Linked DNA regions of Pelodiscus sinensis. Each later gene encodes a partner of the first gene's protein in a complex. Links are inferred from orthologs where the notes say so. Each region holds a gene or a part of one and is shown on either strand. Other genes may lie near its edges.

What was found.
Region 2: the proteins of PDS5B (region 1) and WAPL are in contact, whole or in part, in a crystal structure (PDB 5HDT), measured with the Homo sapiens proteins. The link is inferred for Pelodiscus sinensis from reciprocal best matches to the Homo sapiens genes PDS5B and WAPL. Residues at the interface, in NP_055847.1 of Homo sapiens: Gln47, Phe88, Ala92, Pro93, Ala95, Trp137, Val138, Lys139, Ser140, Asn142, Ile143, Phe145, Glu146, Glu187, Gly188, Asp189; in NP_055860.1 of Homo sapiens: Lys7, Thr8, Tyr9, Ser10, Arg11.

Annotation. Positions count from the first base shown.
Region 1 is NC_134711.1:298,200,171-298,215,434, reverse strand, and holds the start of PDS5B (sister chromatid cohesion protein PDS5 homolog B), read left to right. Parts: upstream 1-9,585; 5' UTR 9,586-9,779; intron 9,780-9,818; exon of another isoform or gene 9,819-10,426; intron 10,427-15,264. UniProt on the Homo sapiens protein: Regulator of sister chromatid cohesion in mitosis which may stabilize cohesin complex association with chromatin. May couple sister chromatid cohesion during mitosis to DNA replication.
Region 2 is NC_134718.1:18,738,741-18,753,818, forward strand, and holds the start of WAPL (wings apart-like protein homolog), read left to right. Parts: upstream 1-8,593; 5' UTR 8,594-8,750; exon of another isoform or gene 8,751-8,989; intron 8,990-13,711; 5' UTR 13,712-13,733; coding exon 13,734-14,226; intron 14,227-15,078. UniProt on the Homo sapiens protein: Regulator of sister chromatid cohesion in mitosis which negatively regulates cohesin association with chromatin. Involved in both sister chromatid cohesion during interphase and sister-chromatid resolution during early stages of mitosis.

The DNA.
Region 1 (15,264 bases):
TAGTTGCGGCTTTTTTTCGAAATGGAGCTTTTTCGAAAAAAACTGCAGTCTAGACATGGATTTGTCGAAAATAAACCCTTTTTCGACAAATCCTGTATTCCTCAATAAATGAAGTTTACAGGATCTGTCGAAAAGGGGTTTATTTTCGACAGGTCTGAGTCTAGACAGCCATTTTTTTCAAAAAAGCTCCATTTAGAAAAAAAAGGCAGCCATGTTTATGCTAATGAAACGCGGGATATTTAAATCCCTGCTTCATTAGCAATTTCGACATGCCTAATCTACATCTCTCTGTCAACAGAGAGGTGTAGTCTAGCCACAGCCTGTAGTCCAGTGGTCCCCAACACGGTGCCCGTGGGCACCATGGCGCCCGCCGGGGCATTTATGTGCACCCGCCAAAACATCTGGGCTGGCCCCAGCCCGCAGCACATGCGTGGTGCCGGCCCCGGGCGCGTGGTGCATGGGTGGCCCTGCTCCGGGCACGCGGCACATGCATGGTGCCGGCCCTGGGCTCAGGACACGTGGGCAGCTCCTGCCCCGGGCATGTGGCACATGGGCGGTGCCGGCCTTGGGCTCAGGGCATGTGGGCAGCCCCTACCCCCAGCACGCGGCACATGTGCAGGGCTGACCCTCTGGTCACCCTACTACTCCATGATGAACTAGTCAGAACTAGTGTCTAGAGGCCAGATGCAGTAGTGCATGATGTTTAAGGGAGGGCGAGTAGGATTCAGCAACATGAGCTGTGCCCACAGAGAGCTGATGACAGTCCTCAGGATGAGAAGGGGGTTGGGTTCCTGCAGAGACTGGGAGGCAGCCTGCAGAAACTGCTACATTAGATGCATGCAACACAAGTTGCAATAGCCATTGACTGCCCAGAGACTGTTCTGCCCCATGGCTGGAGTGCTGAGGTGTCTGCAAGGGCAACCACATCAGGCAAAGGAATGGGTTTACTGTCCTTCAAGGAGGTAGAGAAGAGCCTGAGACATGCAGGAAGAACTAGAAGTGCTAATAAATAAGTACAATTATGACATTGTTGGCATCATAGAAACTTGGTGGGATAATACACATGATTAGACTGTTTGTATGGAAGGGTACAGCTTGCTCAGGAAGGATAGACAGGGAAAAAAGGGAGGAGGCGTTGCCTTATATATTAAAAATGAACACACTTGGAGTGAGGTAGAGATGGACATAGGAGACGGAAGTGTTGAGAGTCTCTTCGTTAGGCTAAAAGGGGTTAAAAACAAGGGTGATGTCATGCTAGGCCACCTATCCAGGTGGAAGAAGTGGATGAGGCTTTTTTTAAACAACTAACAATATCATCCAAAGCCCAAGATTTGGTGGTGATGGGGGACTTCAACGATCCAGATATATGTTGGGAAAATAACACAGTGGGGCACAGACTATCCAATAAGTTCTTGGACTGCATTGGAGACAACTTTTTATTTCAGAAGGTTGAAAAAGCTAGTAGGGGGGAAGCTGTTCTAGATTTGATCCTAACAAATAGGGAGGAACTGGTTCAGAATTTGAAAGTGGAAGGCAGCTTGGGTGAAAGTGATCATGAAATCATAGAGTTCACAATTCTAAGGAAGGGTAGTAGGGAGAGCAGCAAAATAGAGACAATGGATTTCAGGAAGGCGGATTTTTGGTAAGATCAGAGAGCTGATAGGTAAGGTCCCATGGGAATCAAGACAAGAAAAACAACTGAGGAGAGTTGGTAGTTTTTGAAAGGGACATTGTGAAGGGCCCAAAAGCAAGCTATTCCACTGCGTTGGAAAGATAGAAAATATGGCAAAAGACCGCCTTGGCTTAACCACAAGATCTTGCATGATCTAAAAATAAAAAAGGGAGTCATATAAAAAATGGAAAGTAGGACAAATTACAAAGAATGAATATAGGCAAACAACACAGGAATGCAGGAGCAAGATTAGAAAGGCAAAGGCACAAAATGAGCTCAAACTAGCTACGAGAATAAAGGGAAACAAGAAGACTTTTTATAAATATATTAGAAGCAAGAGGAAGATCAAGGAGAGGGTAGGCCCATTGCTCAGTGAGGCGGGAGAAACAGTAACAGGAAACTTGGAAATGGCGGAGATGCTTAATGACTTCTTTGTTTCAGTCTTCACCGAGAAGTCTGAAGGAATGCCTAACATAGTGAATGTAGTGGGACAGGGGGAGGTTTAGAAGATAAAATAAAAAAAGAACAAGTTAAAAATCACCTAGAAAAGTGAGATGCCTGCAAGTCACCAGGGCCTGATGAAATGCATCCTAGAATACTCAAGGAGCTGATAGAGGAGGTATCTGAGCCTCTAGCTATCATCTTTGGAAAATCATGGGAGACAGGAGAGATTCCAGAAGACTGGAAAAGGGCAAATATAGTGCCCATCTATAAAAAGGGAAATAAGAACAACCCAGGAAACTACAGACCAGTTAGTTTAACTTCTGTGCCAGGGAAGATAATGGAGCAAGTAATTAAGGAAATCATCTGTAAACACTTGGAAGGTGGCAAGGTGATAGGGAACAGCCAGCATGGATTTGTAAAGAATAAATCATGTCAAACCAATCTGAGAGCTTTCTTTGATAGGATAACGAGTCTTGTGGATAAGGAGAAACAGTGGATGTGGTATACCTAGACTTTAGTAAGGCATTTGATACGGTCTTGCATGATATTCTGATCAATAAACTAGGCAAATACAATTTAGATGGGGCTACTATAAGGTGGGTGCATAACTGGCTGGATAACCATTCTCAGAGAGTAGTTATTAATGGTGGAAAGGTATACCAAGTGGGGTTCCGCAGGAGTCTGTTTTGGGACCGGCTCTGTTCAATATCTTCATCAACGATTTAGATATTGGCATAGAAAGTACGCTTATTAAGTTTGCAGATGATACCAAGCTGGGAGGGATTGCGACTGATCTGGAGGATAGGGTCATAATTCAAAATGATCTGGACAAATTGGAGAAATGGTCTGAGGTAAACAGGATGAAGTTTAATAAAGACAAATGTAAAGTGCTCCACTTAGGAAGGAACAATCAGTTTCACACATACAGAATGGGAAGCGACTGTCTAGGAAGGAGTACGGCAGAAAGGGATTTAGGGGTTATAGTGGACCACAAGCTGAATATGAGTCAGTAGTGTGATGCTGTTGCAAAAAAAGCAAACCTGATTCTGGGATGCATTAACAGGTGTGTTGTGAGCAAGACACGAGAAGTCATTCTTCTTTGCTCTACTCTGCACTGGTTAGGCCTCAGTTGGAGTATTGTGTCCAGTTCCGGGCACCGCATTTCAAGAAAGATGTGGAGAAATTGGAGAAGGTCCAGAGAAGAGCAACAAGAATGATTAAAGGTCTAGAGAACATGACCTATGAAGGAAGGCTGAAAGAATTGGGTTTGTTTAGTTTAGAAAAGAGAAGACTGAGGGGGGACATGATAGCCGTTTTCAGGTATCTAAAAGAGTGTCATATGGAGGAGGGAGAAAAATTGTTCATCTTGGCCTCTGAGGATAGAACAAGAAGCAATGGGCTTAAACTGCAGCAAGGGAGGTTTAGATTGGACATTAGGAAAAAGTTCCTAACTGTCAGGGTAGTTAAAGACTGGAATAAATTGCCCAGGGAGGTTGTGGAATCCCCATCTCTGGAGATATTTAAGAGTAGGTTAGATAAATGTCTATTAGGGGTTCAGTATGTAGGCTGCTCTGGGGAGAGAGGACAATCTCAGCCCTCTTCACCCCAGCAGTTTGGGGTAAGGTGAGAAGTGCCTGTTCATGGCTGCTGCAGCTGCAAATGGGCACAGCTGGGGTACAAGTCCTGCAGCTAAAGGACAGATACACAGACAAACTGACACACAAACGGACAAACTCTCTGAAATATATAGTGGCTAGCTGTTCCTTTCTCCACCCCTGCCCCCTGCTGGCCTAATGAGGTTATAGCTGTCCTAGTCCCCATCTCTGGCCCCTTGTTTCCCCCTTGTGGCCATTCTACAATATTACTTCCCTCCTAACAGATCCCTCCCTAATACAGATTAACAGGGCTACTCAACTTTGCAAGCCCCGGGGGCCACAGTGATATTCACAGCACATGCTGAGGGCCACAACTTAAGTGTGGTTGCACATACATGCAAATATATGCAAATAGCTTCTTTCACATTGATGGGCATGAATACAAAGATTAAGGCAAGACTACACAACACAGAGGCCCCATTTAAGTCAGTTCTGCTGATATTTACAATATTTACCAGATTTCCAACCCCTATGACAGCACTTTTAATGAGTAATGACAGTCCAGGAATTTAACTACTAAAATGCATATCAACTGAAGACCATTAGATTGACTACTTCTTTGTTTTGGCTCCCACCCGCCACGTGTTGAGTCCTGCATAAACTGTACTGTAGGCCACAAACAAATGGACTGCGAGCTCCATGCAGCTCATGGGCTGCATGTTGTGTAGCCCTGGATTAGTATATGCTTTTAACAACTTTGGTTTAAATCATTTCTACTGATGCCAGTCAAGGAGGCAGACTGCTCCTGCAGCCTCTAAGAATGCTAAATCTCTGACACCCTATCTGTCAGCAAGGCATCTATCTTCAAGGCAGTGAAAGAAAGTAAAGACAGGAACAATTCTTTTCTTAAGCTTCATATATTTTGGAGAGTAACTGCTTTGGTGGTTTTTTTTGTTAAAATTAATATTGTTGATTGTATACTTCGTAAGTAATTGGAGTAGTCACTGATAATGTATAAGGCAGACTGGTAGTGGTGCTATAAAGCACAAGAGAAGGTTCCATCACAGTTGGAGACAAAAAACTGCCAGGAAGGCAGGACAGAAGCTGGGGATCAGAAGCTTCTAAGGAAAAGGTTTGAGACAGTTATTGTTCTGTAACTCAATATGCGTATTGCTGTTGCTATCCAAGTTTATTAATTGTTTGGAAAGCAATAAAAGCTCGATATCCCAATAGAGATCCCATTACATTAGGCACTGTAAACACAGTAAAGTCAGTACCTGTCCCAAATTGCTTACAATCTAAGGGATGTCAGCCAGTCTTATTGTTGCTACAACACGGAAGAGTGCATAAGCATCTTTTCCTACTGTTTTGTCATAAGGGATTCTAATTGTACAGCTCTCCTTAGAGACAAAGAGAGATAATAGGAAGAGTAAGGAAATGAGAGAGAGAGAAAGAGAAGTTATTGCTACGTTGCTTTGAGAGTCACAGTAACTTAAAGAAAACAACAGTATCAAAAGGCTGCTAGTGATAGAGTCACTGAGTCTGATTTCAACTGTTGTGCAAGATCAACATTCCCACCAGCTGCAAGGAGTAGGTATGTTATAGTTGAAAATGGCCTGGACAAACTGTAGAAATGGTCTGAGAAATAGGCTGAAGTTGGGATTGGTCCTGCATTGGGCAGGGGGCTGGACTTGATGACCTCCTGAGGTCTCCTCTATGATTCTATAAGTTTAATAAGAACAAAGGCAAAATTCTGCACTTAAGGAGGGACAATAAGCTTCACATATAAAAAATGGGAAGTGACTGTCTAGGAAGGAGTACTATAGAAATGGATCTAGGGATCAGAGTGGATCACAAGGTAGCTATGAGTCCACAGTGTGACACCATTGGGGAGAAAAAAAAGCAAATCTCATTCTGGGATGAATTAACAGGAGTGTTGTGAGCAAGACACAAGAAATAATTCTTCCGCTCTGCACTGAGTAGGCCTCAGCTGGAATACTGCGTGCAGTTCTGGGCACCACAGGAAAGATGTGGACAAATTGGAGAAGGTCGGGAGAAGAGCAAGAAAAATTATTAAAGGTCTAGAAAACATGACCTATGAAGGAAGACTGAAATAATTGGGTTTGTTTATTTTGGAAAAGAGAAAACTGAGAGGAGACATAACAGCAGCTTTTAAGTAGCTAAAAGGGTGCTACAAGGATGAGGGAGAAAATTATTCTCCTGGGCCTCTGATAATAGGACAAGAAGTAATGGACTTAAATTGCAGCAGGAGAGGTTTAGATTGGACACTAGTGTTCTGTGCTTCACCTGAAAGCTTTTATGAGCTGTATACACACACACCCTTTTGTCATCTGACTTCAGGGTTATTTCAGTAAGGAAAGAGACCAGAGAATGATGTAGAAATGTCGAATCAATCTTCTAGGTCCTTTTTAGGATACTATTATCTTTAACAGTACGTGGGAAAAGAGGCCATATTTGCCAATAGACATCATCATGGTTTTTTACTCTGATTTGCACTGAGCAACCAGAACAGCTAAGAGAATATGGTCTAAATGGTGTTTCTTCATGAGCCTTTCTCTGCCTAAAGTATTTACATAAGTTTGTATTTACATAAGTTTGCCAAAGTATCTGAAAATCTTGCAGTCTTTAAAGTATTAATTCTCCCAGTATTCCTTTAAGATAGGGAAGTACTATTGTACTCATTTTTAAAGATGGAAAGCTGAAGCACAGGTCAGATTTATACCACAGTGAATATAGCAGCATAATCTGGTAATTTTAATTTTTATATAACTTTAATGCAACATACAATGAGAGTGTTCTGTAAAGTCTCATCACTAGCCTCAGTCAGTATGTGCCTCGATTTGGTTGTTTGAGTAACAGCATCTCCTTGCTGCCTCCTACAGCTTGTGTGGGCAGGGCAGTATTTCTGATTATCAGCCTGCAGGGCAAGTATCCAATTTATGGCAGTTTGCACATCCATTTTTCTGCAGTGCTAGCACCAGGAACTGTTTTCTGCTGTAAGTTACATTCAGAGATGGTGCTGGAGCAATGGAAGCAGAATATGTGCCATATGTATAATAAGGTACCTATGTAGAGATTATTTTCCTCTTTCTAAACTTCAGCGTTTGCCTGCTTTGAGTCACGTCCTTTATAAGAAGAAGAGGAGATTTTGGAATCAGAATGATCTCTGGAAGTCAAGAATAATATCAGGGATACTAGAAATGTTTATAAAAGGGATGCTGAAAGCCATTGAACAAAACTGTAAACCCGGAATGTGATGAAAGCTGTGCATTCAGTTGCTATTATTACTTCTAGCCTGAAGGTGCTGCCACACTGCCACCCTGGTTCCAGCATCCCTCTATGACAGTTGAGAAGGAACAAGCAGCTAACCCTCATGAGAAGAGGTGCTGTAAGGGCCCCCTCTGGAGGAAAATGAAAAGTACTGCTGTTGATTTACCAAGCAGTAAGAAGAAGCTAAGTGTGGTAGTTTGTAAACTAGTGGTAGATTTTATTTTGTTTGTATTCAAACCCCTACAAGGAAATTAAATGTGGTATAGGAGGGGGAAAAATAAAGGAATTTCTTTGAAAGTGTTAACTTCTGAAATGATTGAATTGACTAAGTGAAAATGTGCAGGCATTTCTGAGAACCTTTTGATGATTGGGAATTAAGTCTTAGGCTTTCTCATAGCATCCACTTTACCATGTTTCAGTCTCCAAATATCTGTGCACAGCTGTCAGGCATCCTAACATAAGAATAGGGGATAAGTACCCTTCCCTGTCCCATAAATGAGGGATAAGACACACACTTTATAGAAATAGGGAATGGCAAGAAGATAAAGTCAACAATTAGTCTACAACTGTTACACTTGTTATATACATTTAAACTGCAGCTATATAGAGAGATTTATATATATGTATAGCACTTCACACAACAAATAAAGACCTAACCATAAATCTTACAATCTAGGTAAAGACCACTACAATAGAGAACTGGGAAAGACAAAATATTACATGGTCACATGGGAAATTTATTGTAATTCTTATTGATGTATCAAATGTGTTCAGCTTGAAAGTAAAAATGTTTTCCCAAACTGCCAGTGCAACAAATTTCCTCTGTGCCCTAAAAGTTGAACTGGGTTCTTTACTTCAGATAAATTACCACCAGCAATAAAGATTTGACAGGTAAAATGTTGCCCTCTTTTACACTTGTACAGTGTTGTTTTTGTTTTCAAGAAGGGTGGAAAAGAGGGAGTTGAAAAGACGTAAAGAAGGCCAGAATTTTGTCTGGACCTATAATTGCATTAAACTAACAATTCTGGCAACGATGAATATAATTTACTCTTGTAGGCTTTATCTAGTCTATAATAAAAATGTTTTTGTTAGCATGTTCTAACATATTTTAAAAACGTCACTGGAGACCACACATATTATATTTTAATGTGCTAGGCTACATCTAGACTGCAGGCTTCTTTTGGAAGAAGCTTTCCCAAAAGAGATTTTCTGGAAAAACTTCTTTACAAAGAAAGCATCTACACAACAAAAGCGCATTGAAAAAGTGATGTTTTTTGGAAGGATAACATCCACATTGATTGGATCCTATCTCGCATTTGAGTTGTGATTACTATTATCGCTGTTGGAAAAACCCCGTGCGTTCTTTCGACTTTCTGTCAAAAGATCGCCATTGCAGTATGGATGTAAGTGTAGTTTTTCTGGAAAAACGCCCGTTTTTCTGAAAAAACTCTGCAGTGTAGACATACCCTTAGATAGCTGAGGAGAATCTTAGGAAACCTGTCTACACTAGGGCAACATGTTACCTAATAACAAAAATTAGCCTTAGTCTAGACAAAGCCTTTATATTAGCAGACTTGGTGAGTGGAGTGCCCTCACTTAAAAAAATAACTGTAGTTATTTTTTATAAACTAAACATGTTAGTTTTGTTTTCTGATATTTTGGCTCCCTTCTTTTTAGTGTTTACCTGGGAAGTGGAATTGAACCACGTTTGTGCTTACTTTCCTCCCAAATAATGCCCCACACTGGAGATGCTCAGCTCTCCTTTCTCCCATCCACCGCAAGGTTAAACACATTTATTCATCATTGCTCTATTATATATAGATTATAATTCCTGCTAAACATTTCTTTTGCACAGTGGAATAGAATGCATGTCTGGTCTCTCTTTCTCACGTGATATTCATTGCAAAGTCCAGTCTGGATTTGGACAGTGCACTGTCCCTCTATTTCCACCTCTGTGGTCCTTGCTTTCGGTATTTGGTAGGTCCAAGTTACTATAGGTAGGTATTCTGCTAGTAAGACAACTTCGTGTTCGGGGATCTATAGTATAACAGTTTAGCTTGTTGCTTTTCCTTGTGATCTGTCGGTTGGTGCCTAGCTGCTGAGATACCATCTTGGCTGGTTTTTCTTTAGGGGTGGAAGTTTCGCTTCCCTTGCGGGAAGTAAGCGTTAGCGCCCAGGCAGTGAATATTATTATATAGGCAGAGGGACGGATCACGCTTTCGTTTGAGTGTAATTTCTGGCCCTCTCCTGCTTGGCCGAGGAAGCACTGAGCAGACTTTGCTGTCATGGCAGCAGCAGTTTAGTTTTCTGTACGTTGCTTACGTGGGGGAATCGGAGCCGGGTCTGTTCCGCAGCCATTACGGCCGAGTTGCGCGGGTTTATAGAGCGATGCGCGGGGTCTCGCCCCACGACCGGGTAACGGGCTGTGAAAGCTGTTCCTGCGCGAGTCTGGCGCGCTCTTTCCGCCTGCCCGCGCCTGGGCAGGGCGCTGCCTGCGTCAGCCGGCAGGGGGCGCTGCTGCTCCGCCTTGCAGCCTCTCTCGGCGGTTCCATTGGAACAGCCGGAGACAACTTGGCGCCATTTTGAAGCCGATAGGGAGACCGGGGCGAGCTGCGGAAGGGGAGGGGGCTAGAGGCGATTGGCTGCAGCAACGGCGGCGGCTCCTCTCCGAGCCTAGAGCAGCGGCAGCGCGGAGCGGACCCGCCTGGCAGCGGCGAGGGAAGGCAGCGGCTGCTGCAGGGGAGGTAAGGAGCCCGGTGGCGCCTGCTGCAGGGGAGGTAAGGAGCCCGGTGGCGCGGCCGTGCGCCCTTAGCCGCCCCGCGCCTTGCTCCATTTTCCTTTCTCCCCCGCTGTAGCCGGGCCGGAGCGGCGCCAGCCCGGGCCATGCTGCACGGCCAGTGTGTGGGGGAGCCCGGCCCGGCGACGAGCCCCCTCCCCCCAGCTGCAACCTTTCCCTCGCCACCCCTGTGCTCTCTTCTGCCTCCACACGCCAAACTTGGCGCCCCCTCCTCTTCCTAAGTCACTGGGGGGAAGGGGGGGAGAATCCTGGCGGGGGGTGACCTTGGCGGGGCTTTGCTCCTTCGCCCAGAGTTGGCGGGTGGTGCTGTGGGTTGCTCCCCTTTCCCCGGGTGACTTGGGCTCGTGCAGTTTCCCTGGCGGACGGCGTCGCGCTCTCAATGTGCTGCTTGCTGGTGGTTCCTTGTGGCGGAGCCGTGACGAGAGGGTTAACGATTGTGAGTCCCTAGGCGCTGGCCGTTCCCTTCCTGCCCCGGGCAGCTGGCCTCGCCCCCCGCCTAGCAGCACCCAGGGCTCCCGCAGCCCTTTCGCCCTCCACGACCCCGAGTAGCTGCCGTCGATAGTCTCCACTTCCCAGCGATCGCAGGCTACTTAGCTAGGGGGAGGTGGTTACTGAGACCTGGATTTGGTGGGTCACTATTTTCAGCAAAGCTCGTTCACCCATGTTTCTCTTTTACCCCGTTCTGGGGGAGGGGGGGGGGATATGGATTTAGTTAATAAATATGACATTTTATACATGCATTGACAAGTAAAGGACACTGTGTGTAGAAAATATATATTATTTGAGTCTCTGGTCAAGGAATCTATCTGTAACTTCATACTGCAGCAAATAACTCACTATCTGTTCTTCAAAACAAATCAACAATACATGATGGTGTACAAATCTAAAAATTCATTTGCAATAGCTGAGCTTTTAAAGGACTGAATTTTACTATAAAAGCTCTATTGTGATTCCGAGTTGCATGAGTTTTGACTTTTAAATGGTTATCTATTGATAACTATTACTGTCTTTTCAGGTGTGCTATATTAACTCCGGTTTAATATTTATTGCATGCTATTCTGTCTTTTGATTTCAACACTTTATGAAATGATGGGAGAAGCACTTTAGTCATGTTCAGTATTATCTAGTCATTAGTTGTATAATAGATAAACATTGTAGAAAATATAAAACGTTGAAGGTGTATAATGGAAAATATATCTAAAATCTTTGACTTCAGAAGGGGTATGCAATAAGATGAATTCTTTCATATTCCTCCCTTCCAAACAAAGCTGTTGTCTTCCTCCTGAAAACAACAATGGGTTCTAATTTATTAGATCAAAGTTGATATAGTACGTTTTGTGTGTAAAATGTTATGCAACTTCTATATATTCTATTTCATTTTTATTTGAACCAGGCTAACTGATTATTTAAGCAATGTGGAATTGAAACATTTGTGTGTGTATTATGCACAGACATCCTAAATTAAAATGTTATGTTACTGTTAGCATCCTTTCTTGATTCTCTATCTTGACTGCAATATGCCACGTGCCTACCATTTAGGTCTGAAAAGTATGTACAAGAGAAAAACAATAATAGTCTGACACCTTGTGCCTAGGTATTCAATCTGTTTTCTCTTGTGCCCATGTTTCTTACTCTTATGGGTTAGTGGTAGTACCTAATACTTTGTTCACACTTTTTACTAGTTGTTGTTCCAATTGATTGGTATAACAAACTGTAGTCCTGGGTGTTTTGTCTGAGAAGTTGAATAAACTGAAGTTGTGGAAATGTGAATGTTAGACCTATGCAGCAACATCACCTGCTAAAACACATTTTGGAGAAGTCAAGTACTGTTGTTCAAAATATAGGTTTAAGTTGGATAGTTCAGTGAAATTAAAGCTTAAAGTTTAAGTAAATTTCAACAATTAGCAATCATTTGAAAAGGAAAAGCGTAATCCTTTGTTACGTTTTCTCTTTCGGATGTGTACAAAGCCTTTTCTTGAGGCAGTGCTATATGTCTGACTGATAACAGGAGTTTTTCTGGTGGGATATATTTTTATCTTTTTTTTTCCTCTTCCTCTGGTATCCCCTTCTCTGAACTATTGTTATTGGTCGAGCACTGATCTTGTGCTTCATGTGGTATAGTATATGAAACAAATGTATAGCCTAGTTCAGACAGACAGCACAATTTATTCACATAAGACAATATTAATTATATTGTACAATTGTTGAAGTCTAGTGATGATCATAGACTTCTTGGAGGAAGTGGTTTTTTAAGGTTGGATTTGGAAAAGACCACATACTCCACTTGTTGCACAAACAGAGTATTTTCCACTGGACAACTCAGAAGAAGAGATGCAGATGAGTGAAAGGAGGATCCATAGTATGCGATGGAGAGTGATTTTTAGGCATAGGAAAAGCAGGGTTGGAAAAATGAAAGCAAATTTATAATCTCTTCTCTATTCACCCTTGTTGACACTCTTCAGCCCCAATTCATTGGTAAGAGGCTTTCCTTCCTTTACTGTCTCTTTTCCTTACATGTTCTTTGCCTTTTCCAGAGCAGTTCTGTCATTACTGTCTAGTGGTAGTTTTAGTGTCTAGCACTCTGTGCTGATATGACAGTTCATGCTTAAGGTTATAAAAATAATCTAGTGTCTGATTGGAACTATGCACCCAACGTACAGTTATATCCCATTATAAACTCTGAAAATAGAGTGAGAATCTTGAGGGAATGGTTTTAGAATTAATCCTGAGCTGGGGCTAGTATGTGAAAATTCATTCTCTCTCTCCCTCTCTCTCTCTCTTAAACAAACTAACCTGTGGGACAAAAAAGCGACATCACGTCACAGTATCCACAGGCTGGGGGGTAGGCATGGGTGGGTAAATCCCTACCTTTCCCTTCTACTCCTGGCCCCACCCACTGCCAGCCTGGCCTTCTCGGTCAGCCACCTGGAGAACCAGGCAGGTGTGTTGCGGACCGGCATTCCCCAGATGCCGGGGGCAGGGCCTGGCAGAGGGGGTAATGAGATGGCAGAAGGGCCTCAGGCTGGCATGGCAAGGGAGCGGGGGAGAATGGACCCTGGCTGGTGCTAGACAGTCAACTACTCATTCACATATGTGGTAAGCAAATGCTTATCAGATAGTCAACAACTGTGTTGATTTAGTCGTCCCCCCTCTTGCCCCCACACACTGTCTATTAGAAAGAGGAAGCAAGTGGGGGAAGAAATGGGGGTGCTTCAAAGTGGCAGTGCCGTGTGGAGCCCCTGGGCTCCCTGCGGTGCTGTTGCTTTGAAACTCTGCGGGAAGCATGGGGCCAGTGGGGGACTGCCCCTTTAGCCTTGCGCTCCCCGCAGCGCTTTTTCCTTTGAAGTGTAGCAACAGTCCTGGGGCAGTTCCTACATTTTAAAAGTGGAGGTGCCCTTATCGACTAATCAAAGAGTCAGAGCAAATTGCATCAATTATTTGATTAGTCATTTGAAATTTAACATCCTTGGCTGGTGCAGCCAGGGCCGGGAGAGGTGGAGGGGAAGGGACTAGGGCTGGAGTGGCCGCGAGAGGGGGGTTAGTGAGCATAGCAAGCAGTGGGTGCAGCCCCCTAGTGTATTAAAAAGGTTAAATGGACTGGTCCTGCTCTGAGAGTGTTAGGCTGTGGGTAAATTGTCTGTCTTGATGGACAATGCTTAGGTTGCACAGACATTCTGGAGGTAATTGTGCAGACTTCTGCTGAAGAAGAATTGCCAGAACACAGGGCCTTTAAGAATGGATACAGTCTCTTCCCTGCCACCAAACATGTAAAAGTTCTCTGTGTGTGTGTGTGTGTGTGTGTGTTGGTCTTTCAGGAAATTTGATTTTGTTCAGTTTTTAAGGATAGTAGTGTATACTTAATTTTAAACAAAGTATTGATATAAACGGTAAATAATTTTGACTGAGATGAACATGGCTAGTTAGGGATTGCACTAACAAATGTGTATATTTGTTGTGGTTCAGGCAAGTGGCTACACTAGAGCTCTAAAAGATTTCACAAAAATAAAATTAACATCATACAGAAACTTAAAATACAGCAAACCTAATCAAAAGTAATTCCTGTAATATAATGAATGGAGAATCAAATGCAAAAGAGTAAAAGATAAAACCTCCTTAAATACCACAAACCTCTTCCCTCACTCCTTCACACCTAATACAGATCACACTCCAAAGTTTGAGAAAATAGATAGGCCTTGAAGCATATCCTGAAAGTGAAGTAGTGAATTCTAGTGCTGAGGGCTTTTCCTGGACAATCCCCTGCCAGCAGTCCCTTTTCCTTTAAATTGTGTGTTTTCTGGCTATTGTGCCTCAGCTTACTGTAATTTGGGGGTAGTGTTTGTGGTGAGAGATGATAAAACAGCAACTCACCATCTAATTTAGATGGTATATGTTGATTTTTTTTTTAATCTGAGATTTTCTAGATTTGGCCATGATTCTATCCTCAGGTGAAGACTTCCGAATCAGTTATCTTCCTTTGGTATCACTAGGACTTGAGAGATGCTGATCAGTGTTGACATAATTAGTATAGAGCTGGGGCCCTAAATAGTACATGAGAATACAGTCTTTTGCTGTTTGGATTAAATCAACATAGAAAAAAATAGTCAGTTCTGAGAGATCACATGGATTTGAAGAGTTGCTTAATGGGTTGTAACATTGTAAATAGTGTGTGTGATAGAGATCAAGGCATAAAGTAGACTTCTTTTTTTACATAAATTGCATTTTGTCACAAATGATACATGTTCTGTCCTCACAAATACTTTTTTTTTCTAATGTCAGCACTTACAAATAAAGTGTGGTGTTCTAGCTAACTTTCATAGAAATTGCGAAATGTAAGTGATGGAAGTGAAGAATAAAACCTTAGAAGTAAAAGCAACTTCTATCAGAATTTTTTAAATGAAATTTAGTCCTTTAGGAAAATATAAATGTGCATGTTTGCTCTTAACTTTGTTTTAATTTACACTCTTACCTTTTAATGTGCATATCTAAGAAGCTAGTAATCCATCTTTAGAATGTAGAAATAAGTGGTCAACTGCTTTGAGAAACTCTGGAGTCCTACTGCAGATTTTTCTCAACTGTGCTATTTTTCACACTTGTGCCACATCTGCTAATGCATATTTCAGTAAAAAATGTGTCCTTTAAATTCCAGAACCCAGATAATCCTTTTCATAATCCCCCTACATTATTGCTGCTTATGTTATCATTAATACCTTTCTTCATAAAGAGGACTAGACCTTCACTTATGAACTAGAAGTCTAATTATCACTGGCTTTGGAAGGGCAACTACTGAATGGGGCTCCCCTCCCATTATACTACAAGTAGTCTGTGAGCAGTGCTAGCCTCTGCTTCTGTATGAATCAAACCCAGTTCATTCACATGGGAGTTGAGTATAATACAGCTATGCCTAATATGTTTTTGAGAAAAGCTAAACTAGAAAAGAGAAAAATTCAAAAATTGAGAGATTTCAA
Region 2 (15,078 bases), on another chromosome or scaffold:
CTGCATATATTCCAATTAAAAAGAGAAATAACACACAAGGGAATACACAAAGCATGTCCAGTTAGTAATATCATGTCCTGTCTCCTTCCTGCAGGTGGAGGAATAGAATAAGGCAGTGGTACACGCAGTAGCCAGCTCATTACAAGAAAGATGTTTAAAAAGCAATTGCTTATGGCATGTGTACTATATTGTATTCAAACTTTATCTGACAATGCATCTCTTAGGCTTGCATTAAGGATTAATGCAGTACAAACACAAAACCAGAGCACTGCAAAAACCTGCTCCTCCCTGTCCACCCACACAGTTGTACAGGAATAACCCCAGTTTTTAAGAGTCAAATTATTTCTGATAAATAGCATATGATTATATCAGAGACTATAGTCCTCTATCAACACACCACACCACACCACATCCAGTGAATCCTCCTGTGCCCAGGTGGACTAAGTTGTGAGGCCCTCTGCTGGAGACCATGTGGTCATGCCACGCCACACCCCACCCCAGAAAGGGGCTGTTGAGAGATTCTCTGAGCTACCTAGAAATGGCTGTTTGGGGAGCAACCAATCAGGGTCCAGCAAGCTAGTATAAGGAGAGCTGCTGTGCTATGGCAAGTGGGGTTTCTTGCTAGAGCTGAGGGTGCTCTAGGCTGGCTGCCACCAGGACAAGGCCCAGAGATAAGGGTAAAGAATGTGCTGGAGCCCTGGGGAAGCAGTGCAGGGAGTTATAGCAGGAATGCAATTATTTAAAAAGACATTGCAAACAGCTGCTAGCTAGAGGGCTCTGGGCTGGAACCTGGAGTACAGGGCGGGCCTTGCAATCTCTTCCCCCAGCCTCCCATTAGCCACTGGCAGAAGTGGCCTGGGTAGTGAGGCACTCCTGGGGGAGGAGGGCACTGGATTATAGTGACCCAGCTGAAGAGCTGAGGCCAGAAAGGCCCTGAGGGGGCAAAGGCATTGCCTCCGAGAAGAAGCCCTGGGACCCATTCTGCTCTGGAGTAGGGACAAACTGAAAGTCAGTAGAAGGCACTGAGAGAGGCCCTGTTGGACTTGTTCCCCAAAAGGTATTTGCTTTGTATTAACAAACTGTGTGTGACTCTGCTGGAGAGATGAATCACTGCAAAACCACCACAATCACAAAGGCTATATCTACACTGGCGGGTTCTTGCACAAGAACATCTTGTGCAAGGGTTCTTGTGCAAGAACACATACACATTGCCATGTGCCAGATGTGCTTTTGCACAAGAGCATCCATAGCAGTGTGGATGCTCTCTTGTGCAAGAAAGGTCTGATGGCCATTTTAGCCATAGGGCTTTCTTGCGAAAGAAATCCCTGCAGCGGGTCCACACTGCCCTCTTGTGCAAGAGCTGTTGCGCAAGAGAGCTTACACTTGTAAGAAAAGAGTGTAGCTCTTGTGCAAGTAGCTCTCTCTTACCACGCCGTACTGTAAATTTTCTTGAGCAAGAGCAGGGGGGCAGTGTGGATGCTCTGAGGATTCTTGCACAAGAACGGCTGTACTTGCACAAGAACCTGCCAATGTAGACATAGCCAAAGAGAGTCAAGGCACATGCATTTGGCCAGGGGATACTTGTGGGAGGTGTATGCACCCCATTACACCTCCCCTTTCAGCCTACTAAATAGCCAAAACCCTAACCTGGAAGGATAATACCTAAGGGAGCCTATGTCTTCATTGCAAAAATTCATGCAACTAACCTGCTGTAAAATGCTAGAGGAGACATGGTACAGCTGGTTTTCAATCTCACTGCACCAAGATGAGATCAACCCCAAGTGCGGGTACAGTGTTGACTTCAATGAGGTTTATTGAGGTCAAAACTACCGGTGCCTTCTCTCCACTAGGATTTGAAACCTGTTTTTTCCAGGAGAGTTGGACACTTGGAAAAAGACTGTTCTGAACAAACATCTGAAATTTAGATGTCTGACTGGTGGATGACTGCTGTTGGCTCATCTAGTAGAACCAGTATTTCCAGGGTCTGTCCTTAGGTGGAAAGGATGCTGCTATTGACACGCCTGCAACAGATGAGTGTGCAGGTTACAGGAAGAAGGTGGAAGAATACAATGTTTACCTGCTTGATGCCTGGATCTGACTCAGTAGTGCCATGGTTTGAATCACTTATCACACCCATGTAGCTGCTTGCTGTGTTCCCTATAACTTGTGCTTTATCCTAGTTAGTGATGCTTTAAGCATTACATTATTAAACTTTGATGTATTATGCATCAAATTAGGTTTTTCACATGCTGAAGGAGTCACACCAGGCAGTATGTGGTCAAAAACAGTATGAAGCAAGCTCTCCTTTTTCAAATCCTAGTTAGTCCCCTTTCTTAGGGGTTAGTTGAAGGAGATGTACAGAATTCTCTCCAATATCACAGCTTTACTAAAGAAGTCTATATACTTCCTGGAAAGCAAGCTTTTTCAGCATCCACAAAATCATACTGTAATGTTCCACTCTCCATTTAAATATCACTCTGCTTAACCCAATGATTCTAGCATGTTTTCAACCAGAGTAACTAAACATTTTTAAGAACTGCAGAGAATAGGAAATTGAATTGTTGCTGAAAACAAGACCTTCAACTGGTTCTGAAAGTCACTGTTATGTTGGCATAGACACAGCATCCCATTTTCAACATTATTTAAGAGATAGTATGTCAATGGTAGAACTCTCATTGACATCAATGCAGCCAGGATTTCCCTGGGTTCTGGATTATGTCAATCACAGAAGAGGTAGAAGCCTGAAACTAGAACTGGTCAAAATTAAAGCAAGGAGAAAAATGTGAATTGGGAGATATTTTTCTTCTCACTTGTGTGTGGCCTCAACTGTGAGTCAGTAGCCCCCACTCCTGCCTTAGAATCATGAACTTTACCGTATCATAATAAATTTGACTCAAGCTGCCCTCCTCTTCAAATTCTCAACTAATTCCTTCCTATTTGTCAAAATCAAATCTAGAATAGCCTCTCCCCGGTAGCTTTTTCTACCTTTTGAAATAAAAAGTTCTTAATACACTCCAAGAATTTGTTGGATAATCTGTGCTCTGCTGTGGTGTTTTCCTAGTGGATGTCTGATTAGTTGAAGTCACTCTGTTACTACCAGCACTACCAAGACCTCTGCTCTGGATGATTTTGTTTGTTTAAAAAAAAGGCTCATCCACCTCTTCTTCCTGGTTAGGTGGTCTGCAGAAGATCCCTTGCATATCATCACACTTTTTTTACCCCCTTTTATCCTTAGCCAATATTACAAGTCCGTCTCCTTCTTCCATCTCAACTTCAGTCCAAGGGACTGTGGGAAACTTGGCCACACCCGTGATAAGTGAACATCTGACTAACTAAAGTCATTCCAGGCCATGGATGTTGCTGGACCAGAGAGTGCTGGACTAGAGAGGTTCAAACTCTATTAGAGACAAAAAGGGATACAAGTTAACATTCTAAAAATACACTAGACTCAAAGGCTGTGTCTAGACTGCATCCCTTTTCCGTAAAAGGGATGCAAATTAGACACATCGCAATTGCAAATGAAGCGGGGATTTGCATAAACATGGCTGCCGCTTTTTTCCGGCTTGGAGCTTTGCTGCAAAAAAGCACCAGTCTAGATGGGGATCTTTCAGAAAATAAAGCCTTTTCTGAAAGATCCCTTATTCCTTTCCGAAAGATCCCTTATTCCTCTTAAAAAAGGGAAGACAAAGGACAAGGTAGGCCCTTTACTCAATGAAAGCAGAAAAACTAACAGAAAATGAAGTGCCTAATGACTTTTTTGTTTTAGATTTCACCAAGAAGATTGGTGGCAATTGGATATCTAGTATACGAGTGAAAATGAGGTAGGAATAGAAGCTAAAATTGGGAAAGTACAAGTTAACAATTTCTTAGATAAATTGGATGTCTTTAAGTCAGCATGATCTGATGAAACACATCGCAGAATACTCAAGGAGTGGACTGAGGAGATATCTGAGCCATTAGCTATTATCTTTGAAAAGTCATGGAAGATGGGAGAGATTCCAGAAGATTGAAAAAGGAAAAATATAGTGCCCATCTATAAAAAGGAAAATAAGGACAATCTAGGTCATTACAAACCAGTCAACGTAACTTCTCTACCAAGAGAGAGAATGGGGGAAGTAATTAAGGAATTAATTTCTAAACATCTACAAGATAATAAGGGAACAAATAACAGTCAGCATGAATTTGTCAAGAACAAATGCCAAACCAAGTTGATAGCTTCCTATGACAGAGAAACAAGCCTTGTGCAAGATGGAAGCAGTAGATGTGGTATATCTTGACTTTAGTAAAGCTTCTAATACTGTCTTGCATGACCTTCTCATAAGCAAACTATGAAAATGCAATCTAGATGGCCAGTGTAGACAGCTCAGATTTGTTTTGCGCAAAAAAGCCCTGATCGCGAAAATGGCGATCGGGGCTTTTTTGCGCAAAAGCGCGTCTAGATTGGCCACGGATGCTTTTGCGCAAAAGTGCTTGTGCGGAAAAGCATCTGTGCCAATCTAGACGCTCTTTTCCACAAATGCTTTTAGTTGAAAACTTTTCCGTTAAAAGCATTTGCGGAAAATCATGCCAGTCTAGACACAGCCAGAGAGAATGGAAAATCACTGCATAGGAAGGAGAACTGAAGAAAGGGATCTGGGGGACATAGTCAACTACAAGCTAAACATGAGTCAACAGTGTTGCAAAAAACCCCAAACACCATTCTGGGATACGTTAACAGAAGTGTTGTAAGCAAGACATGAGAAGTAAAGGAAGTCCCCAACTTACAAACAGGTTGTGTTCCAAAAGTTTGTAAGTCAGTTCTTTGGAACTTGGAACACATTTTCCCATAGAAATAATGTTAAAAATGGTAGTTAGGTTTCCAGGCTAGCCCACAAAAGCTTATTTAACCCATAATGTAGCAGAAATACTCTATATTTGCAATGAAAAATAGTAGAAATATTTTTTCAACCTTGACTTGAACACTGGTGCTTGAGGAAAGGAAGATTTAATTAGAGCAGGATGAGGAGCTAACGGGGAGGGGGGAGAGGGAAGGGGTGCAGAGGGAGCCCCTAGGGATGTTAGATAGCGTGTAATTGAATATTTGTGCAACTACATCAAATGTTAGCGGTTATACAACTATTTGATAGTCCCCAGAGATGGGGTTGGCAGCCAGTGCACTCCCGGGGAGCCACCTGTTACCCAATGCTGCTGCTCAGGGACAGGGCATCAGACTCTGGAGCACAAGGTGTTGGGCTCAATTCCTCCCTGAGAGTGGTCAGACAGCCCACTGCTGTTGCAGAGGCAGCAGTGAAGGGTGGCAGGTGGGAGCCAGTCCACAGGGGGAGTTGGTTTAAACACCAGCTCCCCGCTGACAGAGGCTGCTCTGCGACAAGAGTCCCTATCTTTGGCGGGCCCAGGCTCACCATGGACAAAGGCTGCTCTACAAGATGCTGAAGCAACCAGTAGATCCGGATCTACCAGTAGATCTTGTAACCTCTGATAGGTGATCCTGACTGATTTGGCCAGGAATCTATCAAGTGCTGGCACTTCAGTTGCCCCTCCCCCCACCAACCTTCCTTCTCATCTCCAGACCCAACACATACGTGGGCGGGTTGTTGTTACTTCTTGCAAAGTGGGTTATTTTTAGTGTTTGACTGATCTGTGCATTTCGTAACTTTCATTTCTCTCTTAGGCTTAAATGTAATTCTTTGAAAAGTGAGTTCTAAAAGGCCTAAACTGTCATGTCTGGAGTCATTATCCCTGTGGTAATTGTGCTCCCGGAAGTGGCTGGCATGTCCCTGCAGTGGGTCTCCACACGTTGTCCTTGCCTGCACACACCACTCCTTAAACTCCCATTGATCAATAATGGAGAACCATGGTCTGTAGGAACTGTGGGGTTGGTGCCTGTAGATGAGGGCCAGTGCTATACATGCCAGCTGCTTTCAGGAGTAAGCCTGCCTTAACTCTGCTGCTCCATATCTGGGGCAGCTGTCTGGCCACTGTCAGGGAGGGAGTGAGCCCAACATCCTGTGCTCCAGAGGAGGATGCCCTATCCCTGAGTTCACTGGAGATCCCACTCCACCTCCCTACCTTGAGCAGGTCCTTTAGCCTCCTTTCCAAATGCAGGAGCCAGCTCTATCCCTGGGGCAGCCTGTGTTGGCTGTCTGGCTACTTCCAGGGTGGGCAGGGGCAGGACTAGAGTCCCCAACCCTATCCCCAGGAAAATCCCCAAGACCAGTGTTCCTCAACCTTTTTTTTATAAAGTACTCTTTAAAAAAAAAAAAGTATCTACAGTTTTCAGACACACACAATTTTTTTCTATCGTTGCAACACATTTGTTTAAACAACTTAATCGTAGCCAGGCAGGTGATGAAATGTTTGGGTGTAAAAAATACAAAAATAATAAAATGCTGTAAAACTTAAAAGAAAAATTCAGTTTTCTCCAAATTTCAGTTGTGTTGATATACCTCCCAGACTTCTCTTGGGTATCCCTGTGGGTATTCGTACCACTGATTGAGAAACACTGCCCTAGACCACTCCGAAACCCACCCCACCCCCTTACCTTCAGGGCATCCCCTCCCATACTCCGAACCCCATGGCCGAAGACCAGAGCCTGCACTTCAACCCCCTACCACAGCCTGGTGAAAGTGAATGAGATTTGGGGAGGAAGGAGGATGGATGGAGTGAGCAGGGTGAGGCCTCGGAGAAGGGGGGAAGGAAGCCGCGCAAGGGTATTTGGGTTTGAGGTAGATCTTACATTGCATTTAAATAGAAAAAGTGATCTTGTGGTTGAAAAGGTCAGATACGATTGAGCTAAGCCCTACCTTGAGCCCCCCTACACTTCCTAACCCTCTGTCCTAAGCTATCCACCTTCTCTCTCTCCTTACCTCTGAACCCTCATTTGCCTCATTTTCAAAAAAATACAAATGAAATAAAATATGTAGAGCTAGATAAACTGCGGCAAGAGCTACTTGCCAGCCCCACGCCGCGCATGCGCCAGACCAGCACTGCACGTGCACAGCGCCAGTGAATAGGGTGCACAGAGCGACTGGCTGAAATCTACTCGCAACGGGCGAGTAGAAACAGCGGTTTGTCGAGCCCTGAAAATATGTATATTTTTATTTTATTTTCCACCCCCCAAAAGTCAGTTAAAGACCTGAGCAAAGCTGGGTACTAGGGATGTTAAATATTGGTTAATTGAATAGTTGAATAACCTCATTAATTCTTATTGGTAAGTCAACTATTTTATAGTCCCTGGGGGCAGGGCCAGCAGTCTGTGCACCTCACTCCCAAGGAGTCCCCTACCACTCCATGCTGCTGCCTCTGTATCAGAAGCAGCAGAGTGGGGTGCCAGGCAGGAGTTGGTCTGCAAGGGAAGCCAGTTTAAAAACCTGTCACCCTGTGCTGTTGCCTCTGATAAAGAGGCAGCAGTGCAGGGTGGCAGCTTCCCTTGCCTGGTGTGTGTGTGTTTGGGGGGGGGGGAGGGGAGTCTGAGCTCCCAGACACAGCGTGAGCTGGAATTGAGTCTGCCTGGCTCCTAATGCACTTTAAATACAGTGCCGCAGCAGGGGTAGGTCCCAGACTTGGCATGAGCCAGGACTGAGCCAGGCTGCTAAAAAATTTACTGGTGGACTAGAGGGGAGGGAAATGTGTGTAGTCTACAGAATTAACTTATAAGCTTTTGCTTATCAGTTAATCAACTACACGCTTACATCCCTAGTGGGTACATCAAGCAGAAGGGTTAAACGTGGAGATTACTTGACAGACTAGCTGTAAGTGAATTTGTTCTTACCGCACTCAGCTTTCTCTACAGCACTTTATTTTCATGAGCTAGTCAGAGACAGAAATAGATGAATAGCTTTGCTGTTTTGACTAGGATTAGTGGAATAGTGGTGCACAGAATTTTGCTGAAGGATGTTCAGTGATAGCCTTTGTGATGCTTTTTGACTAACTGGGATTTTTTATAAAATGTTTCTTCTGTGGACTGTGAGTAGCTGTTGGCAAGTGGAGTTTGGGCAATAGCTGCATGATTTGAAGTATTGCAGGATTCTAATTAGAGACATTTGTTATGGATGGATAAGTCAGTCTCTTGTTTCACCCTCGCTCGCCACTCCGGAGGTGGAGTTGACATTGTTTGGGAGCCTTAACTGGAACGTGTTGCTCGGAAGATCCGAATTGCAGCGCAGTCACACTGAGCGGAGCGGGGCCCGGCGGCACGCGCCAGACCGCCCCAAGCCTCCAGAGAAGCAAAGCAGGAGGCTGAGTGGCAGGCAAGCCCGCGGTCGAGAACTCTGGACTGCAGCCCTTCCCGCCACCGCAGCGCACGGCCCCGCCCCGCTGAAACGTCACCCGCCCCTCCGGAGACAAACCGCTCGCGGGCACAGCAACGTCACCCGCCGTCAAGCACCCCCCGCCCCCTTCCGCGCGCACGCTGGCGCCTGATGCAAGGCCGGCGCGCGCACGGAGCTGCACCGCCCTGGAGCACCGAGACAAGCAATTGGAGACTGGCGGGGGTGGGAGGCGATTCCCCTAACTCACCCTCCGCGTTATGAAACTACAGGTCCCAGCGTGCCCCGGGCGCGCGTGCGCAGGGGCGTCCCAGCGCCCTTTCGGGGGCGCATGCGCGGCGGCGTGTGGGTCGGTTGAGTAAGGCTGGGCGCGATTGGCTGCGGGGAGGCGGCCGAGTGTGGGAAGCGCAGTGACGGAAGGAGCGGGGGGCAAATGGCGGAGAGATGGTCCAGGGCCCTGTTCAAAGAGCAACGATAATCCTGGTGCGGAGAAAGCGGCGCCGGAGGAGGAGGCGCCGGGGGCCCTAGCGCCAGCGCCCACCCCCACCCCGGCGAGGGAGGCTCCGCTGGGGGGGCGGGACGCGGAGGAGTCGCGTTGGCGAGCGCGTCCGCGGGCGGCGTTTCGGGGCCGAGGCAGCCGCGTTCTCGGGGCCGAGTCCGAACCGCGCCGGGAGCAGAAGCCGGGTCCCCCGCCGCCTCCCTCCTCCCTGGGTGAGACCGAGGTGGGTACCGGGCGGCGGGCAGGGCCTGCGCGGCTGCCTGGCTCCCGGGGCCTGCGCGGCCTGCAGCCCTCTGAGAAGGCCCCGTTGCCCCTTACGCCGGCGGCCGCTCTTGCCCCGCTTTCTGCCGCGGGCGCTGCGCCTCGGGGAGGGGGAGGCTGGGACGTTCCAGCGGCCGAGGGACGCCGGGTCGGGCGGAGGGGGGGGAGGGGTGCGTGTAACTTTCCCTCCGCGCAGTTCCCCGGGAGCTGTGAGCGGGCCCGGCCGGGGGGAGTTGAGGGAACTTTTCCCCCCCTCCCCTCGCTAGCTTGCGGCTGGCCTCAGGCGCAACTGTCTGGGATGTGCGGAGGAGCAGGTGGCGCTTAATCAGGGGTGGGTGCGGAGCCTGCTTCTGCTTCCTGTTCGCGCTGGGTGGGAGCCTCCGCCACTCAAGTGAGAAGCTACTTGGGTTCTTTCTACTGTTTGGCGGTTCAGGGGTTTGGGATGCGAGAGCAGGGACGTGAGAGGCTTCGCATTCCGCTTTAAGCCTGCACGAAGAACAGGATGATGGTGATTCTCTGGGGATTTCATTAGCTTCATATGTCCAGTACTTGACCTATTTTTCTGTCCTTTGATTATGAAAGGGAAATAATTGGCAAAAGAGTAACAAGTAAAGAGAAGTGGTGTGCGTCCCTCCTTTAAAACGAACTGTCAGGTCTGGTTGGGCCACAGATTTCAGAAAACAGTGGTTAAAAACGGGGAATAAAGTTCTTAAATTAGACTTTAGTTAGCAGCTTGCATACTTTGCAACTATATGCAAACAATGTATGCAATTGTTTGGTGTCTAAGTATTGCACCATTGCGCTGGAGTAGGACAGCTAAAAAGTATTAGGGCATAGAAGTGAAAAAGTGAAACTAAAATATGTTGTTGATGAGTGAAAAGCAAGAAGAGTCAGCATTAATAGGTACAGTTTAATTTGGGCTCTTAAGTATTCTATATTAATAAACTAACACTGGCAAGGAAGTATTTTTAAAGTATTGTTAATCTGACTATGAAAGTTAGAAGCCATATTTTGATTAAGTGACTATTACTACATCATGCTTATAGGTTCATGTTTAACATATCAAGTAACAACACAGCTTTTAATGTCTTTATTCTTGTTTAGTCTTATAAAATAGATGTTTCAGAAGATAATTGAACATCTATGAAAATAGCAGTATTTTACATAAGGAGGTTAGTCATAGGGCAGGGCTTTATAGTCTGAAATTAAAAGACTTTTAGTCAGGGTGGGGTAAAACTTGCATGTTTTTTGTGAATAAAAAATATCTTTTCCCTGAGGGTAGGAGCTGCATAGGCTATCGGTTTCTACAAAATTCATTTTGCTTAAATATGTTTTCTAGACCTCATGGTTGTAAAGATGGCATTTGAAATATGAATAGTTACTGTACTCTTTTTGAGCCTTCAGACACACATCATTTGCCTGCTCTATTACTCATTCCTGAGAACTAATCATTTTGCTAAGCTTTGCTTTTGCAAGTTTAAAACAGGGAGCAAGTTTTAAAAGTACAGAGGATCACCTCAGATTCACTTAGCTCCTTGAAGGGGAAAATGGATAATTAGAGGTAAATATTAAACTATTGACATAGGAGAAATAAATGAAAGGAGAGTAGCTACTACTCAACAAAGAGGAGGTTCTAAATGAGTGTGAAGGAGTAGAGAGAATTGCAGAGCATGCTAATTTTACCAGTAGCTAGAGGTGTCAGTTTCAAATTAATCTACACAATAGTAGAAATGGCAATAATATAGGTAGTCATAAGTGGTATCTTACAAATTAGAAATAATTTACCATATTTTGAAACTATTAATAGAGGAAATGTTTATCAGTGCAACTTTGTCTCAAGGATGCAATAGTGTAGTCAATTAACAGATAAACAAAAGTTTATCAGTTAATGCTACAGACTACATGCATTTTCCCCTCCCCTCATCCGCCAGTAAGTTTTTTAGCAGACTGGCCAGCAGCCTTTCTCAGTCCTGGCTTGTGATGGGTCTGGGACCTACCTGTGCTTAAATACACCTCTGAATTTCAAGTGTATTAGGAGGTAGGTGGGCAGGCAGCCCAGCTAAGTGCCAGCTCATGGCTGGTCCAGGAGCTCAGACCCCTGCTGGACGGGAGCTGCTGCCACCCTGCACTGTTGCCTCTGTATCAGAGGCAGCAGTACAAGGCGACAGGCAGCCAGTCTGGGAGGGGAAGTGTTTTATAAACTGGCTCTCTCACGGACCAGCTTCTGCCTGGCACCCCATATTACTGCCTCAGATACAGGGGCAGAAGTGTGGCGTAACAGGGAGCTCCTCTGGAGTGGGGTGCACTGGCTCCTAGCCGCATCCCCACAGACTATAGAATAGTCAAGTAACTGATAAGGATTCATGAGGTTACTTGATTATTCAATTAACCAGTATTTAAAATCTCTACTTTGTACCCCCAATTTAGGATTTATAGGAACAGATATTTATCTAAGTGCAATGTAAATGTTCCATAAGTTTGAAGGAAAAAATTAGCAAAACGTGTAATCTGACTTCCTGTAAAATTCCACTTCTACATCTGTATTTGCAGACCTGAAGATTGACTTAAGTTGAAATTCAGTGTAAAAAAAAATAACTTTATCTATTACAACTGCCCAGGCTGAGAATCTAAAATTTAACAGTATAGATTAAGGGAAAATGTTTTATGTTTAATGTAAATACAGCCTAAATATTTAATTGATCTGCTTTTGTCTTCAAATTAAAATAAAGGCAGCAGGAAAACAACGAGAAACAATGGTCTCCCCTGTGACCTCTGTATAGTAAAGAACGCTAATGGCCAGATTTCATGAGCAGACACCAGGTTTCAGTCTATGATGTAGTTTGCATGACTGAATTTGATAGGACCCTATATATAATATAATTCTGTCTTGATGCACAGTAAGCTCATTGATTTTTGCCCTGTCTACAATGGATAACCATCCTTTCTATAACAGTCCTTAATGTATTTGAAACTGCTAAGATGTTTCCCCACAGTCTCTCTGCCATTAGTCCACATCTTTTTTTAAAGCATGATGACCAAAACTGGATGCAGTACTCCCATCAGAGGCCTACTCTGTACCAAGTGGGACTGTCAGATTCCTGTTAATACATCCCATGTTGATACTAGCCTTTCTTGCAGCTGCATCACATTGTTGACTCATGTTCAGTTTATGATCCAGTATTGTCACCAGTTTCTTTTTGGTATTACTATCATGTAACCAGTTATTCTGCATCTTGTATTTGTGCATTTAATTTTTCCTTCCTATTGGGTTATTTTGCACTAAATGAAATTTACTGAATTTAATTTTCAGAATTCCCAGCAATTCTCCATTTTGTCAGGGGTGTTTTGAATTCTAATCTTGTCCTCCAGGATGCTTGTGACCTCTCCCAGATTGCTTTCATCATCAGGTTTCATATGCATATGCTCTGAGCATGCCATTCTCCAAGTAATTATTAAAAATATGAATATCCGCATCCAGGTCAGACCCCAGTGGGACTTCACTAGAAAGATCTTCTGTGTGAAACCCAACCATTGATAACTACTGCTAGTATATGGCGCTTGGAGGATGGGGTCTTTGAGAGAGTTTGGTTGAAGAAGGCAGTTGTGTCCTACGGTAGAGGACTGGCATGCAGGATTTTGGGATGTGGCCTAGGATAGGAGGGGATTGTGATCTGGGACAGGGGATTGGGGTGCCAGATCTGGGAAGGGGGTATAGGGGCAGAGGGTTAAGGAAGGGAGGTGCTGGGGTGCCAGAGGTAGGCTCTGTCTGGGAGGTGCTTAACAGCAGAAACCTGAGGCAGACTGCTGCAGGCTGCTCACTGCTCCACATGGCTCCGCATTGGGCATGAGAGGGAGGAGAAGGGAGATGGGATAGAGGAGGAAGGGACAAGGCTTGCTACACTGCCCCTGTCTAGGACCTTGTCTGTCCTCCATTAATAGTCAAATATAATTATTAATGGTTCAAAAATTATTTCAGCTTGCTGCGTAAGTACCCTATGGGGAAGACACGTTTTAAAAACCAGACTGGATTATAGTCTGTCTACTCTAACATGAGCTGCACATACAAATATGGAATGAAAATAGTCTAAAGTTAGACAAAATACACAACCTTTTTAATTTTTCCTGAAAATAATGGCCTCAAGCCTTGCAAATGTAGGTATTATGTAGGAGTATGATATGGAAACAGAACCATCCAAATATTTATTCAGAGATCCCTGCATATCTGCAGATATCTGCATGCACAGGTGTGGATGCAGATACAGATTTTCTATCTAGAGCCCTGCAAATTTGCAGATATCTGCTTCATATCCTTGGGTATATCCATTTGTGGATCTGGATATCCATGTCTCTCTTTTGTGGATAAGGAGACACAACATTTTGTATCTGTTTAGTCATAGCAGATAAGTTTTTATTGACTCAAGGTGGTGAATTTCTACTAAATAAACAGGGACAAGTGAGTGACTGTTGTATATTGAGAGGCATGATATCTGTTGCAGAACTTGCTTTAAACAGTGTGCATTTTTTAAATGAAGTGAATGATGCCAGTCAGAAACAGTACTAACTTACAATACTAACTTAAAAACGAACATCTATGGTATCTCTAATAAAGAGTGGGAAAATAATCATTTCTACTAAAAACAACAGTATACTGAAACTAACTTTTATATATTTTTTTTTCACACAGAGAATATGAAACAGTTGTCAAAATGACATCCAGATTTGGAAAGACATACAGCAGGAAAGGGGGAAATGGCAACTCAAAGTTTGATGAAGTCTTTTCTAACAAAAGGACCACCCTTAGCACAAAATGGGGAGAAACCACATTTATGGCCAAATTAGGACAGAAGAGGCCCAATGTCAAACCAGATATTTCAGAAATTCCTAAAAAACCGAAAGTCGAAGATGAGGTAACAGAAGATCCATTTGGATTTGACAGTGATGAAGAATCTCTGCCAGTGTCTTCAAAGAATGTATCGCAGGCTAAAAGCTCTTGTCAGCTGGAACCCATTGAAGTTGTTCAGTCTGAGGACTTCGCTTCTTTACTTGAGGCTAATAGCAGAATTCATCAACCAATCAGTAGAGACAACATTGTGTCCAGCAAGAGTCTATCTTTTGACAATATTCTTTATGGGTTAAAAGAAGAGAGCACAAATGTAGAGGATGAAGAAATCAAAAGCAGCAGAGCTGATCTCATAACAGGTAAATTTTAGATTAAACAATTTTATAATACTTAAACATGCTGTGATTTTTAATAATCTTGTTCAACTTTTTTTTTTAAAACTGTTGCATCTCCTCAGCTTTGTTTAAATGTTGGAATAAAACCTATGACCAAATAATCTTGCATATGGAGAGCAAAAACTAACTGGATACAGAAATTTACAATATTTTATGTATCAAATGTAAATTAAGGGATCAGCTACCATGTTCTAAAAAACACTAGCTTTGCACGCAGTTTTGAGGTGTATTCTTTCTTCAGTATGCCTCTATACTTCTGCATATCTCCTACCCTTAAGCACAAGTAGAAATTACATTGTTTCTAGATGATGCAACTCAGGGGATTGATGAGTCCTTTTAGGTAGCTGGTTTAAATCTGGCTACAGACAGGTAGTGAGTGATAAGATTGTCTGGCCATTAAGTTATATGAAATGAGTCAGTGTACTACATTTTCTCTTTTCATAGTTGGGGATTAGTTTCAATACAAATCAAATAATTAAATAGGCATATAGTTTGAAGTTCCTTCAGACCTCTAGCTGTTTTCAGTTTAGAATTGAGGCAGCGTAAATGATCTGGTACTGTTCTTACCTATGCTTTGTTTGTTCTGGATGAGTTAGAGATGTGAAGGTATACCTGTTCACATGATGAACCTGGGCTCCTTGGTTAATTGTGTAAACAATTACACACAGCTTTCCTCCCCTTGCTGTCTCTGATACAGTCGCAGCGTAGGGGTGGGCAGGTGGGAGCTGATGCTCCCTGTGCATGCCAGCTTCCCTGGAGCTGCTTCTCCTCCTCCTTCCTCCTCCCCATGATAGTTACTTCAGAGGTGGCAGCAGC